3 linked regions of the Callithrix jacchus genome follow. The main gene of each other region encodes a partner of the protein of the gene in region 3 in a complex. Links are inferred from orthologs where the notes say so. Each region holds a gene or a part of one and is shown on either strand. Other genes may lie near its edges.

Region 1 (3,650 bases), about 130 Mb from region 3:
GTGCACGCACAAGTACACTGCACGTTTCTGTGTGCCATCTGTATGAATGCACACACACGTGGAGGCTGAATCAGCTCCATGCTGGATGCCAACCCCCCATGCTTCTGATTAAGCCCTGTTCTGGGAAGGCCTCTAAGACTTCCAGTTTATCAAGTTTCTTGTGTACCAGCAGGAACTCGCTGTACACCTGCCCTCAGTCACACAACCTCAATGTCATCGCAATCAATGACCTGTGCCTCCCTGCTGAGCTGCCCGCCTCAGTGCTGCGTCGGCCCTGGGTCTGGGCTGACAGTGCAGGGATCCAGCACCTCATCTGACGGCCACTGGAACTCAGACTTGGCTTCTGTGTGTAGGTGAAGTCCCTACCACGTCTTTTTCCAAGAAACTGCATTTGTCAGTCTTTTTTGTTGTTGCTGAGACAGGGTCTCACTCTGTCACTCAGGCTAGAATACTGTGGTGTCATCTCAGGTCACTGCCACCTCTACCTCCTGGACTCAAGCAATCCTCCCACTTCAGCCTCCCAAGTAGTTGGAACTACAGGTGCACAGCACCACACTCAGCCAGCTTTTATTTCGATTTGTCACAGAGATGGGGTCCTACGTTGCCCAGGCTGGTCTCAAGGCATCCTCTTGCCTTGGCCTCCCAAAGTGTTGGGACTACCAGTGTGAGCTGCTGCACTGGGCCTGCCAGCTCCTTCTTTGGCCTCTCAGCTTCCTGGGACTTCGGGGCAGGACTGCATCGACAGACAGCGCAAGTGCACATGTGCTCATACATGTGTGTGCATATGTTCATACGTACGTGTGACCAGGACACCCAGGCAAGGTGCTCTTATGTGTGATCTCGGTGCCTGTGCATGAGCTCATACATGTGTGTGATCAGGGTGCCTGTGCACGTGTTCATACGTGTGACCAGGGTGCCTGTGCACATGTTCATACGTGTGTGACCAGGATGCCTGTGCACGTGTTCATATGTGTGTGACCAGGGTGCCTGTGCACGTGTTCATACATGCGTGTGACCGGGACACCCGCGCATGTGTTCAGATGTGTGTATGATCAGGACACCTGTGCACGTGCTCATACGTGCATGTGATCAGGGCACCCATGCACATGTGTTTATATGTGCATGTTATCAGGGTGCCTGTGCACAGGTGTTCATACATGCGTGTGATCAGGACACCCGTGCACGTGTTCTACGTGGGTGTGATCAGGGCACCCGTGCATGTGTTCATACATGCCTGTGATTAGGGAACCTGCGCATGTCATACGTGTGTGATGACATGTGTGTCCATATGTGTGATCAGGACATCCATGCACATGTTCATACATGTGTGATCAGGACATCCATGTACAGGTGTTCATACGTGCATGTGATCAGGACACCTGTGCATGTGTTCATACGTGTGTGATCAGGACACCTGTCACAGGTGTTCATACATGCGATCAGGACACCCATGCACAGGTGCTCATATGTGTGATCAGGGCACCTGCGTACCTGGTCTCACTGCCTGAGCCCCTTTTGGAATAACCTGAGATCATACCAGTCAAACCAGCACTCTGGTCTCAGCCTCTCAGTAACTCTACTGAGCTGGGAAGTCTCCCCACATAGCAATGAGAGAAGCCAGGCCCAGAATGCTTTTACCCGAGGTCTGGGGTCAGCACAGGGCCACGCTCCTGACCTAGGAGGGAAATACCTTGCATGGCCAGGGGCTCTCTTCCAAAGGGAGAAACAACCGCCTCCTGCTAGAGGTTGAGGCATCCATCCCCGGCCTGTGTGGGGGTGCAGCCGGCATGGCTGAAAAGGCTGAGCCCAGCAGATTTGAGTCAGCTGTCCGTGGCACCACCCGGACTGCCACAGCCTCACTGCTGTGAAATAGGAGCCCAGCTCTCCGTTCTCCCACTCCTGTGTCGAAGGAACAGGGTTCCTGGGCCTCCCACGTGCCTGACTCTGTGTTTCGAAGCAGCCGTGGCCCATCATACCTCGGTCTTCTCAGGGCTGCCCTCATCGAGTGACTACCCCAGGCCCCACGTGGGGCGTTCCGGGCCTCCTCTATGATACCCCTTTAATGTCTCTTTACCCCATGCCCCTGCTGCCTAGATGGCCTCCATGAGGTCCCATGGGCAGTGCACAGGCACAGGAGGGACACCTGGGGCCACGTCAGCTCCTACCGCTACTTGGAGACCGAATGGGCACTTCACACAAAGCCGTGCGGACATAGAACCAGGCTGAGGAGGCAGCACTGCTGAAAAGGTAAGATACTCCTTACCCCACCCGTCAGAGGTGAGCAGAGTGGGGAGGGTCTCTGGAGGTTGGGCCCGCGCCCCCTGGTGGCTCACCGGTAAGCCTGCAGCAGGAAGGTCTTGTAGACGTTGGCACACACCGTCTGGAGGCTGTTCACCTAGAGTCACCAAGAAACAGCGAGAAACGGCAGAAACCTCTCTGGAATTTTAAGTTCTTACTTCTTGCTTTATCATCCATTCAAATGGAATAAGAAAGGGGATCACTGTGATAAGAAACCATCACTCTTCCTGATGAAATCTGGCCTGGCCCTCACCAGGCAGCTGTGAACCATGCTGAGGGGAAGCCACAGGGTAGGGGTGGGGGGGTAGAGCGTGTGTGGTCAGAACTCTGGCGTCTGCCTGCCCGAAGATCGGCCAGGACGGGAAGGAACCAGGAGGGAGGGAGTGGATGCAAACGCCCAGATGGGACCATGCCCTCAGCGCCGCAGCTTCGGAGCCTCAGCCCAGCAGGACCTGGGACCCTGTCTCAGGAGGGGTGCTGGTACTGAGGACCAAGCAGGGTGAACATGAGGGGCCCTCGATACACATATGTGCATGCCTGCTACTGCACACCCACATGCACCTCACATGAATGCACACGACTGCACATGCACACGTCAGGCATGCATTCACATGTGCATACTGACACCTGCAACCTCGCACACCTGTGCACATGCCGCCATGCATTCATGCACACACACGCACACGTGCATATGTGCACTCATGTGCAGCCACACCTTCACCTTCAGCCTTGCAGGCACGCTACACATACACACACACACATCAGGTACGCATATGCATGCTCACACCTGCACCCCTGGACACCTGTACACACACTGTCATGCATTCATGTACACACACTCATGTGCACAGGTGCACGCATGTGCAGCCACACTTTCACCTTCAGACTTGCAGGCATGCCACACGCATGCGCATACACTTGTGCAGTTACACACACACCTCCTGAACTCTGAACTCTGTGCTGTCAGTCTGCTCACCTGCAAATCCAGAAAAAGGCTGTGACACTTCAGCCGCAAGACCCCAAAGAGTTTGCGACGCATGCTCCTCCCGGCCTTGAAGCTGCGGTTGAAGGTGAGACTGGCTCTGATGGAGGTCCGGGCATAGCTGAGACAAAGTGGGGATGTCAGACACAGGTCCCAACCCACACCATGCCCCTCTCGCAAAGTTTGATGGGAAGAGCCTCCCTTCCTCCTCCCGCTCCTTGTCCTGCCTGAGGCGTGCACTGCAGCCCAAGGGGGCTGGGTGCCCACTCCACAGATGCAACTTGCTACACCCCCATCTGGACCCTGCACAACCAAACCACCAGGACCTGGTTAGTGGTGCTGAGTGTATCCAAGCCTCACGTGACCGTGC
Region 2 (3,365 bases), on a different chromosome or scaffold from region 3:
GCATGTTCTCATTCATAAGTGGGAGTTGAACGATGAGAACACATGGACACATGGTGGGGAACATCACACACCCGGGCATGTTGGGGGGTGGGGGGCAAGGAGAGGGAGAGCACTGGGACAAATACCCAATGCATGCGGGCTTAAAACCTCGATGACAAGTGATAGGTGGAGCAAACCACCATGGCACATGTATACCTATGTAACAAACCTGCACATTCTGCACGTATATCCCAGAACTTAAAATTTAAAAAAAAAGATAAAAGAAAACTAAGGTAGTAAGAAATTAAGTGCTTACCCAGAGATACATTGTGGAAAGAATTAAATTGCAAAACGGAACCCAGTCAGTTTTGACTCTATCATGTAGCTTCTGAATTATTATACTGTCCCCCAAGTCATCACACTAATTGCTTCTATTATGTTTCCAGTTTTATATAGACCCATATAAGCTGCTGCCACTGCAGAGGTTTTTACCTCGACCTCCAGGTGAGAAAGGACCTCCAAGAGGTGGTGGCAGGGGAGGCCGAGGAGGAGGACGAGGAGGAGGTGGCAGAGGTGGTGGCAGAGGTGGTAAGTTACTTGGGGAAAATTTCTGTTGAGATTTTAGAGTCACAGCTAAATTCATATAGTACAATTTAGTTTTGAACATAGCAAACCTCCCTTATGGTAAAGCTGCTTTCAAATATTGACAGATTGTCCATAATAATAATGCTTCATTTCAACAACTTAAACAGAAAAAAAAAAATCTACTGTAGTATACTTTTGAGGGACTTTATTTCTTTGGGTTATTCATGTTTTCTTGGGCATTTTAATAAACCATAAAATCATCTTAATTTTATTATCATTGAGTATAGACTGCATGCTGAAAGCTGGTCATACCTTCTTTTAATTTCTTTGTATATTCTTCTAATCTCAGTGAAACCTTTTGAGATAGATGATATTTTTGTTTTATGAATGAGGAAAACGGAGACTTACAGAAATTAATTTGCCCCCATCAAACAATTGGCAGACCCAGAATTAAAATGCATATCTTCTGATGTCATGTCAAGAACTATTACTAATAAGTTCATTGCTGTGATCTCACTGTTTCCCCAAGGTTTTGGCACATTCATCATTAATTGGCAGCTAGGTGATGAGCAGGGCTCTGGGGAGTGGGGCTGCCATGTCCTGTGAGTAGGGGGAGGGCCAAAGTGGAAAGGGGGAGGAGCTGAAAGTTGGGCTTTTGTTATTGGATCAGAAAAAGAGAAGGAACGATTCGCTTTTGCGTCTCTCAATTTAATCATCATTTCACTCCATAAATGTACTTGTTTGGGTCCATATAGGTAGCAAGGAATATCTTTAAAAAATATCAACATATTTCTCCAATATTTTCAGGGGTACCTTCTTGAGAATTTGATGAATAGAGATTCCCCTATTCTCATTTGAGTATCATTTAACATTTCAAAAAATTCACAACTATCTTATTTTTAAAAAATCTTACCTATGTAGCTCAATTAGCCTTAACTATCATATTTATTATCATGCCCCCAGAGCAAAAGCACCCATAGGTGCCACCCTTTGTTCTTAGGATAAAAAGCCTTCATTCCATCAAACTATCCTTCGTTGAATCAAAAAGTCTTTATCATAAGCAAGAACTAAGGTGATAATTGTACATTTAACAAGACTGAATTATACTTTAAAGTAGCAGGTTTTCTAATTTATTGAAATGGAATACTTGTTTAAAAGGAATCTAGGGTTTTAGCCTGTTGCCAAGTTGGTAAACTACAGTCCCTCCATTTTTATCTTCTAAAATTTTTTCCATGATAAAATATGTGAATATTCATTGTAATTATAGTTATTGTATTGATGTTTGTAGGCTTATCAGCATAAGAGGTTATATAGTTAATAACTGTTCATGTTTATTATTTATATTATTTAAATATTTTGCATTATTATTTAATACATGTTTTTTAGGTGGTTTTAGAGGTGGAAGAGGAGGTGGAGGTGGGGGCTTCCGAGGAGGAAGAGGGGGAGGTGGTTTCAGAGGTGAGTATCTTAAAAAGTCTTTAAATTGCTTGATTTTTAGAATTGATACTAAACAGGCATTTTCTGTTTTTGTTTCAGTTTATTTTTCTCTGCTAGCAAGTATGTAGCACACCGTGATGTTCTTTGCTTAGCCTAATTTGTGGCTTTATTTTATATCACTTTTTGTTTTGCCTTTTCCTTTCAATTTTTTTCACCTAATTCTAATTTGGTTTTGCTTAATTATTAATTTAAAAAATGAAAGTGTAATATGAATGACAGTTAAATTGGGTAAAATATGTTTGCTAAACATTATAGAAACTAATGCTGATTTTAAACTTGAGTTTTAGGTTATAATACTATTAAGAAATCCATTTTCTGTGCCCTTAATACTTCAATTTTCTCTTAATTAGGGAGAGGACATTAAGTGAAATGGTTGACAGACATCACCAGTTGACTTCTGCATAAACCTGTGTCATCTGTTTCTACTGTGGATTGGAAACTTGTTTCTTGAGCAAGTCTTGAAGATCTTGGTCGTTTTATGACAATGGATCTAAAATGTCAGCATTATGCCAAGTACAACGGAATAGTGAATTTTGCTCTAAAAGAGCATGAACAAATCTTTTTAATGTTTTGTATAGTGCCTGGCACTCTGTGGGTGCTTAATAAATGGACAGGAGTTTTCATTTGAAGCATATTTGAATTTTTAAAATAAAGTGTTTATTCCCTTATTTAGAGTGTGTTTATTAAAGAAACCCATTTTTTGAAGTAGAAAGGAACAACTAAAGCTTAAACCCAGTGAATTGCAGATTAAAAAAAGGTTTCTTTTCAATCCTTTTTGATTCTATTTGATCTTTGAAAAAATAGGCTACTAGAGCAGTACTTTATTTACAAATTAATACCCCCTTTCAAAACCCTGGCCTTTTACATATGAGAACATAGCTCTGTGTTTCCCTTTTGTGTTTTAATACATAAATCCGTTAAGCTGTTTCTCTAATTGCATTTAATTATTGATTTAAAAATTTTCCATATTAGCAATGTATTGAAGGTGGAGTAGCTCTGTTTAAGTGAAAACTGTAGTTCAAGAAATTTCTAAAGAAACGGTCAATTTTTCTCAGCCAACATAAATGGAATATTAAAGGTTTTATTGAATGTTATTTCACTTTTACTTTTTTAAAGGGACTCTAAAAGTTTAAGGTGTTATTTACTATACGTGAATATCGATTGCATACCACATGTTCAAATTGCTGGGTAATGATGTTAAAAATGAAATTGGTTTTGGTCACTGTTGCTAGTAGCGTGTAAAGAAATGACCATGGTAGCAAGTTACAATGCCATGATACGGAGCTATTTACCCTGCTATTCAT
Region 3 (4,268 bases):
CAGTTCTCCTGGTGGGGAGAGGGGAGGAAGTCATGTGTCTCTAAAGTACCTCCAAAACTTATCAAAAACCAAACCTGTGATGTTTATTTTTGAGATGGAGTCTCTGTCACCAAGCCAGAATGCAGTGGCACGATCTCAGCTCACTGCAGCCTCCACATCCTGGGTTCAAGTGACTGTCCTGCCTCAGTCTCCCATGTAGCTGGGACTACAGGTGCACGCCACCACACCGGCTAATTTTTGTATTTTTAGTAGAGACAGGGTTTCACCATGTTGGCCAGAATGGTCTCAATCTGCTGACCTCCTGATCTACCCACCTCGGACTCCCAAAGTGCTGGGATTACAGGCATGAGCCACGACATTTGGCCAACTTGTGATCTTTCTAGTCCCCCTCCACTGTTCACATCTCAGACGGGGCCCTCTGTCCCTCCAGCTGGGCCTGTCAGAACCTAGAAGTCATCAATACCTTCTCATTCTCCACATCTAAAAGTCCTCTCAAATCTATTTCCTTTAACTCTGTCTCCACCATCACCTCTCCAGCACTACGGTGGTCTACTATCTGAACATTCCCAAACCTACTCTTACCTCTCTAATCCTTTCATCAATTGTCGGAAATTTTTGGGTGTAAAAAATAATAAAAATTATGTCACTTCCTGGCTTTAACCCCCAATGGCTTCCAAAGCACTGAATACAAAAACTAAATTTACTGTGGGCTACAAGGTCCCCTAAGAAGGGGGTTCACCAGATCCCCCTTCCTGCCCTGAGGCCCACTCCTTCTTCTGGCAGGATCCTCCGATCCCACTCCAAAATTAATCCCTGTGTTTTTTTTCTTTTTTTTTTTAGACAGCATCTCGCTCTTGTTGCCCAGGCTGGAGTGTAATGGTACAATCTTGGCTCACTGCAACCTCTGCCTCCTGGGTTCAAGCACTTCTCCTGCCTCAGCATCCTAAGTAGCTGGGATTAAAGGAGCCCACCACCATGCCCGGCTAATTTTTTTGTATGTTTAGTAGAGCTGGGGTTTCACCATGTTGGCCAGGCTAGTCTCAAACTCCTGACCTCAAGTGATCCACCCGCCTTGGCCTCCCAAAGTACTGAATAACAGGCGTGAGCCATGCACCCGGCCATCGCTGTGTCTTTTTTTTTTTTTTTTTGAGACGGAGTTTCGCTCTTGTTACCCAGGCTGGAGTGCAATGGCACAATCTCGGCTCACCGCAACCTCCGCTTCCTGGGTGCAGGCAATTCTCCTGCCTCAGCTTCCTGAGTAGCTGGGATTACAGGCACGCGCCACCATGTCCTGCTAATTTTTTGTATTTTCAGTAGAGACGGGGTTTCACCATGTTGACCAGGATGGTCTTGATCTCTTGACCTCGTGATCCACCCACCTCGGCCTCCCAAAGTGCTGGGATTACAGGCTTGAGCCACCGCGCCCGGCCGCCATCCCTGTGTCTTAAGATCTCAGCTCAAATGGGACTACTGAGAGAAACTTCCCCTGATGTGCCCTCCCAACTAGGTTAGACACCATTAAGCATCAAGTCTGCCCAACATTATTGATCTCTTGTGCACCTTCAGTTTCACTTCTTGGGATAAAGCAAGGAAAGGCCCTGTTCTGGAGCTTACCATTTGGCCTGAGAGGATGATACAGGGAAGAAAAATGTAAAGAAGCTTCAAATTTTGATAAATGCCATTAAGAAAAGTGGGGTAATGAAACAATTCTCATTGCATTCTGTTATTTTCCTTCATGGCTATCACAACGTTTAATTATTTGTGTGTGTGATTATCTGATCAATGAATGTTACTGTTTCTCCCATAGCACAGTGCCTGAAAAAGAGTACACACTCAATCGTTAAGGTTACCAGGTGTGGTGGCTCATGTCTGTAATCCCAGTGCTTCTTGAGGCTGAGGCAGGAAGATCTCTTGAGCCCAGGAGTTCAAGACAAGCCTGAGCAACATGACGAGACTCCTCTGTCTCTGCAAAACAACAATTAGCCAGGCGTAGTGGCGCAAGCCTGTGGTCCCAGGTACTCGGGAGGCTGAGGTGGGAGGATCGCTTGAGCCCAGGAGGACAAGGCTGCAGTGAGCTGTGATTGCGCCACTGCACTCCTGCCTAGGTGAGAGACCCTGTCTCAAAAACAAACAAAAACATTAATACTCAGCCCCTTAAATACAGAGTTAGAGAGGGGCCACCCCTAGGACAGATTCAAGGCTGAGCGGATTAGGGCGAGGGCTCGAGGCAATCTGAGGCAAGGAGCGGAGACTGGGGAGTAGGATCCCTGAATGAGTGAAGCTGGGTCTAAGGAACTTGGCTTACACAGTTCGCTTCACCCTGGAATTCACTTTAAGCTCGTGTCGGTATTGTACTAAAGGGACTTTACTGACTGCTTAACTGGCTTCTGTATATGGGGCTAGGTCAGAGTCAACATTTTACTGCGCACCTACCACGTAGAGATTTCTCAGTTAGCGTTTAGAAATGCAAAATCTAGAGGAAAGAGGGTTCTTACCCTTTTTCTCCTTTGTTGACAAATTTCTGAACCTCTTTCACCCCGCGCCGAATCTGCTTCTGCTTCACGGCTGCAACGACAGAAGAGTAGGTCGGGGGCCTCTCCACGCCACCCGCGCCCCCACCCGCGCCCCCACCCGGGCCACCTCGGCTCTCGCCTCACCTTTCTTGATGCATTTGTAGAGCTTCCGCGTGAGGCGACGAGAAGCCAGGGGCTGCGCGATGGGGTTTTGGTTGACCAGCAGCTCTTGGTAGGTGCGCTCCCCGGAGCATGCCTCCGCCTGACCCTCGGGCCGGTCGGGATCTGCCTTTATTTTGGTCATCGCAGCGGCCGCGGAAACCTAGTCCCAAAGAGGCTAGACCACGCGGTCCGCAGCTTTAGGCATTACTTCCGGGCTACCAGCTGCACGAGAAGCCGCCGTGCAACACGGCCAATCAGGAAACGAGGTCTCCGACTCAGTCCTATCGTTGATGATCAGCTTCGAAACTACGGAGCGGAGAGGGGCGGAGTCGCGATCGTAGGGGCGGGGCCGCCCCCGACCAAGGAGCGGGGCGGGGCGAATAAGGGCGGAGCCGAGGGAATGTGAGGCAAGGGGCGGGGCCCTGGGGGAAGCAGGGCCTAAGGGGGCGGGGGCGGGGGCGCGGCCGGGGCCCGGGGCGGCGCTGGAAAGGGTGCTTCCTTTCTTGCATAATTTTCTTTCTTTCTTTTCCGTCCCTTGGACCCCGATGCGCAGGTGTGAAAGATACAGAGCAAGGGCTCACCCCACTAACCTGCGTGCGTCTGCACCATTTTTCTCCAGATAGGGCGTGGCTCGCTCTCTTCCCTCAGGGTTCTGCTCCAGTGTTTTCCATGGGAGAGGTTTCCCCGTTTTTATCTAAAATTGCAGTCCCCTCCCTCCCCCACCAGCATCCTTTCACCCGCCACTTTCCCCGCAGTTCTTACCTCTGCCTGACGCTGCAAACGCTGAGGGCCTAGCTGAGAAGTCAGACGACGCTAAGGGGAGGACGACTGGATTGAAGCCAGGAACAGCTGAGGGAAGACTTTGGGGACTGAGGTCCCTGGCGGGCTCGGGGAGAGCTGTGAAGAGCCACCCGCTGGTGGGTAGAAGGCTAAGGGACAGAGCCTCCAGGGAGTGGGAGGCGGTGGCAGGCCGAGATCTAGTGGATCTTGGTATCTCTGTTAAGCCTCTTCCACTGTGTTTTGGAACTCTGGATGGATATTAATTAGATAATTGCTACAAATGACTAACTTGTAATACTAATTACCTTTGATCCTGATGTGGCAGGCCTGCCATTTTTATATTGCTAGAATAAGCCAGTAAATAGAAACTTAGAAGTGTTCTGGTGGCTGTGGGAGTAAGGTCAGTTAAACTAACTTAAAAATTGGCCTTTCCCCAGTGTGATGACACGTGCCAGTGGTCCCAGCTACTCAGGAGGCTGAGATGGGGTTAGCTTGAGCCCAGGAGTTAGAGGCTGCAGTGAGCCATGACTGCACCTGTGAATAGGCACTGGCAGTCTGGGCCACAGAAGAAAATCCTGTATCTTAAAAACAAACAAAAAAAACTTTTAACACTGGAGCAAAGGTGCAATAAATTTTGTTTATTTTGCATTAAATAAAAACAAAATAGGTTTTTACGAGGAGCCAGTGGCTCATGCCTGTAATCTCAGCACTTTGGGAGGTCGAGGAGGGCAGATCTCTTGATGTCAGGAGTTCGAGACCAGCCTGGCCAACATGATAAAACCCCATCTTTAATAAAAATTTAAAAATTAGCTG

What was found.
Region 1: NHP2 (region 3) and TERT share a complex: the UniProt entries of both Homo sapiens proteins name them as parts of the telomerase holoenzyme complex. The link is inferred for Callithrix jacchus from reciprocal best matches to the Homo sapiens genes NHP2 and TERT.
Region 2: NHP2 (region 3) and GAR1 share a complex: the UniProt entries of both Homo sapiens proteins name them as parts of the H/ACA small nucleolar ribonucleoprotein (H/ACA snoRNP) complex. The link is inferred for Callithrix jacchus from reciprocal best matches to the Homo sapiens genes NHP2 and GAR1.

The regions. Positions count from the first base shown.
Region 1 is NC_133503.1:204,825,492-204,829,141, reverse strand, and holds part of TERT (telomerase reverse transcriptase), read right to left. Parts: exon of another isoform or gene 3,428-3,650; intron 3,402-3,427; coding exon 3,275-3,401; intron 2,396-3,274; coding exon 2,334-2,395; intron 1-2,333. UniProt on the Homo sapiens protein: Telomerase is a ribonucleoprotein enzyme essential for the replication of chromosome termini in most eukaryotes. Active in progenitor and cancer cells. Inactive, or very low activity, in normal somatic cells.
Region 2 is NC_133504.1:87,424,206-87,427,570, reverse strand, and holds the end of GAR1 (H/ACA ribonucleoprotein complex subunit 1), read left to right. Parts: intron 1-425; coding exon 426-567; intron 568-1,950; coding exon 1,951-2,022; intron 2,023-2,411; coding exon 2,412-2,425; 3' UTR 2,426-2,729; downstream 2,730-3,365. UniProt on the Homo sapiens protein: Required for ribosome biogenesis and telomere maintenance. Part of the H/ACA small nucleolar ribonucleoprotein (H/ACA snoRNP) complex, which catalyzes pseudouridylation of rRNA.
Region 3 is NC_133503.1:70,651,621-70,655,888, reverse strand, and holds the start of NHP2 (H/ACA ribonucleoprotein complex subunit 2), read right to left. Parts: upstream 2,885-4,268; 5' UTR 2,818-2,884; coding exon 2,658-2,817; intron 2,566-2,657; coding exon 2,496-2,565; intron 1-2,495. UniProt on the Homo sapiens protein: Required for ribosome biogenesis and telomere maintenance. Part of the H/ACA small nucleolar ribonucleoprotein (H/ACA snoRNP) complex, which catalyzes pseudouridylation of rRNA.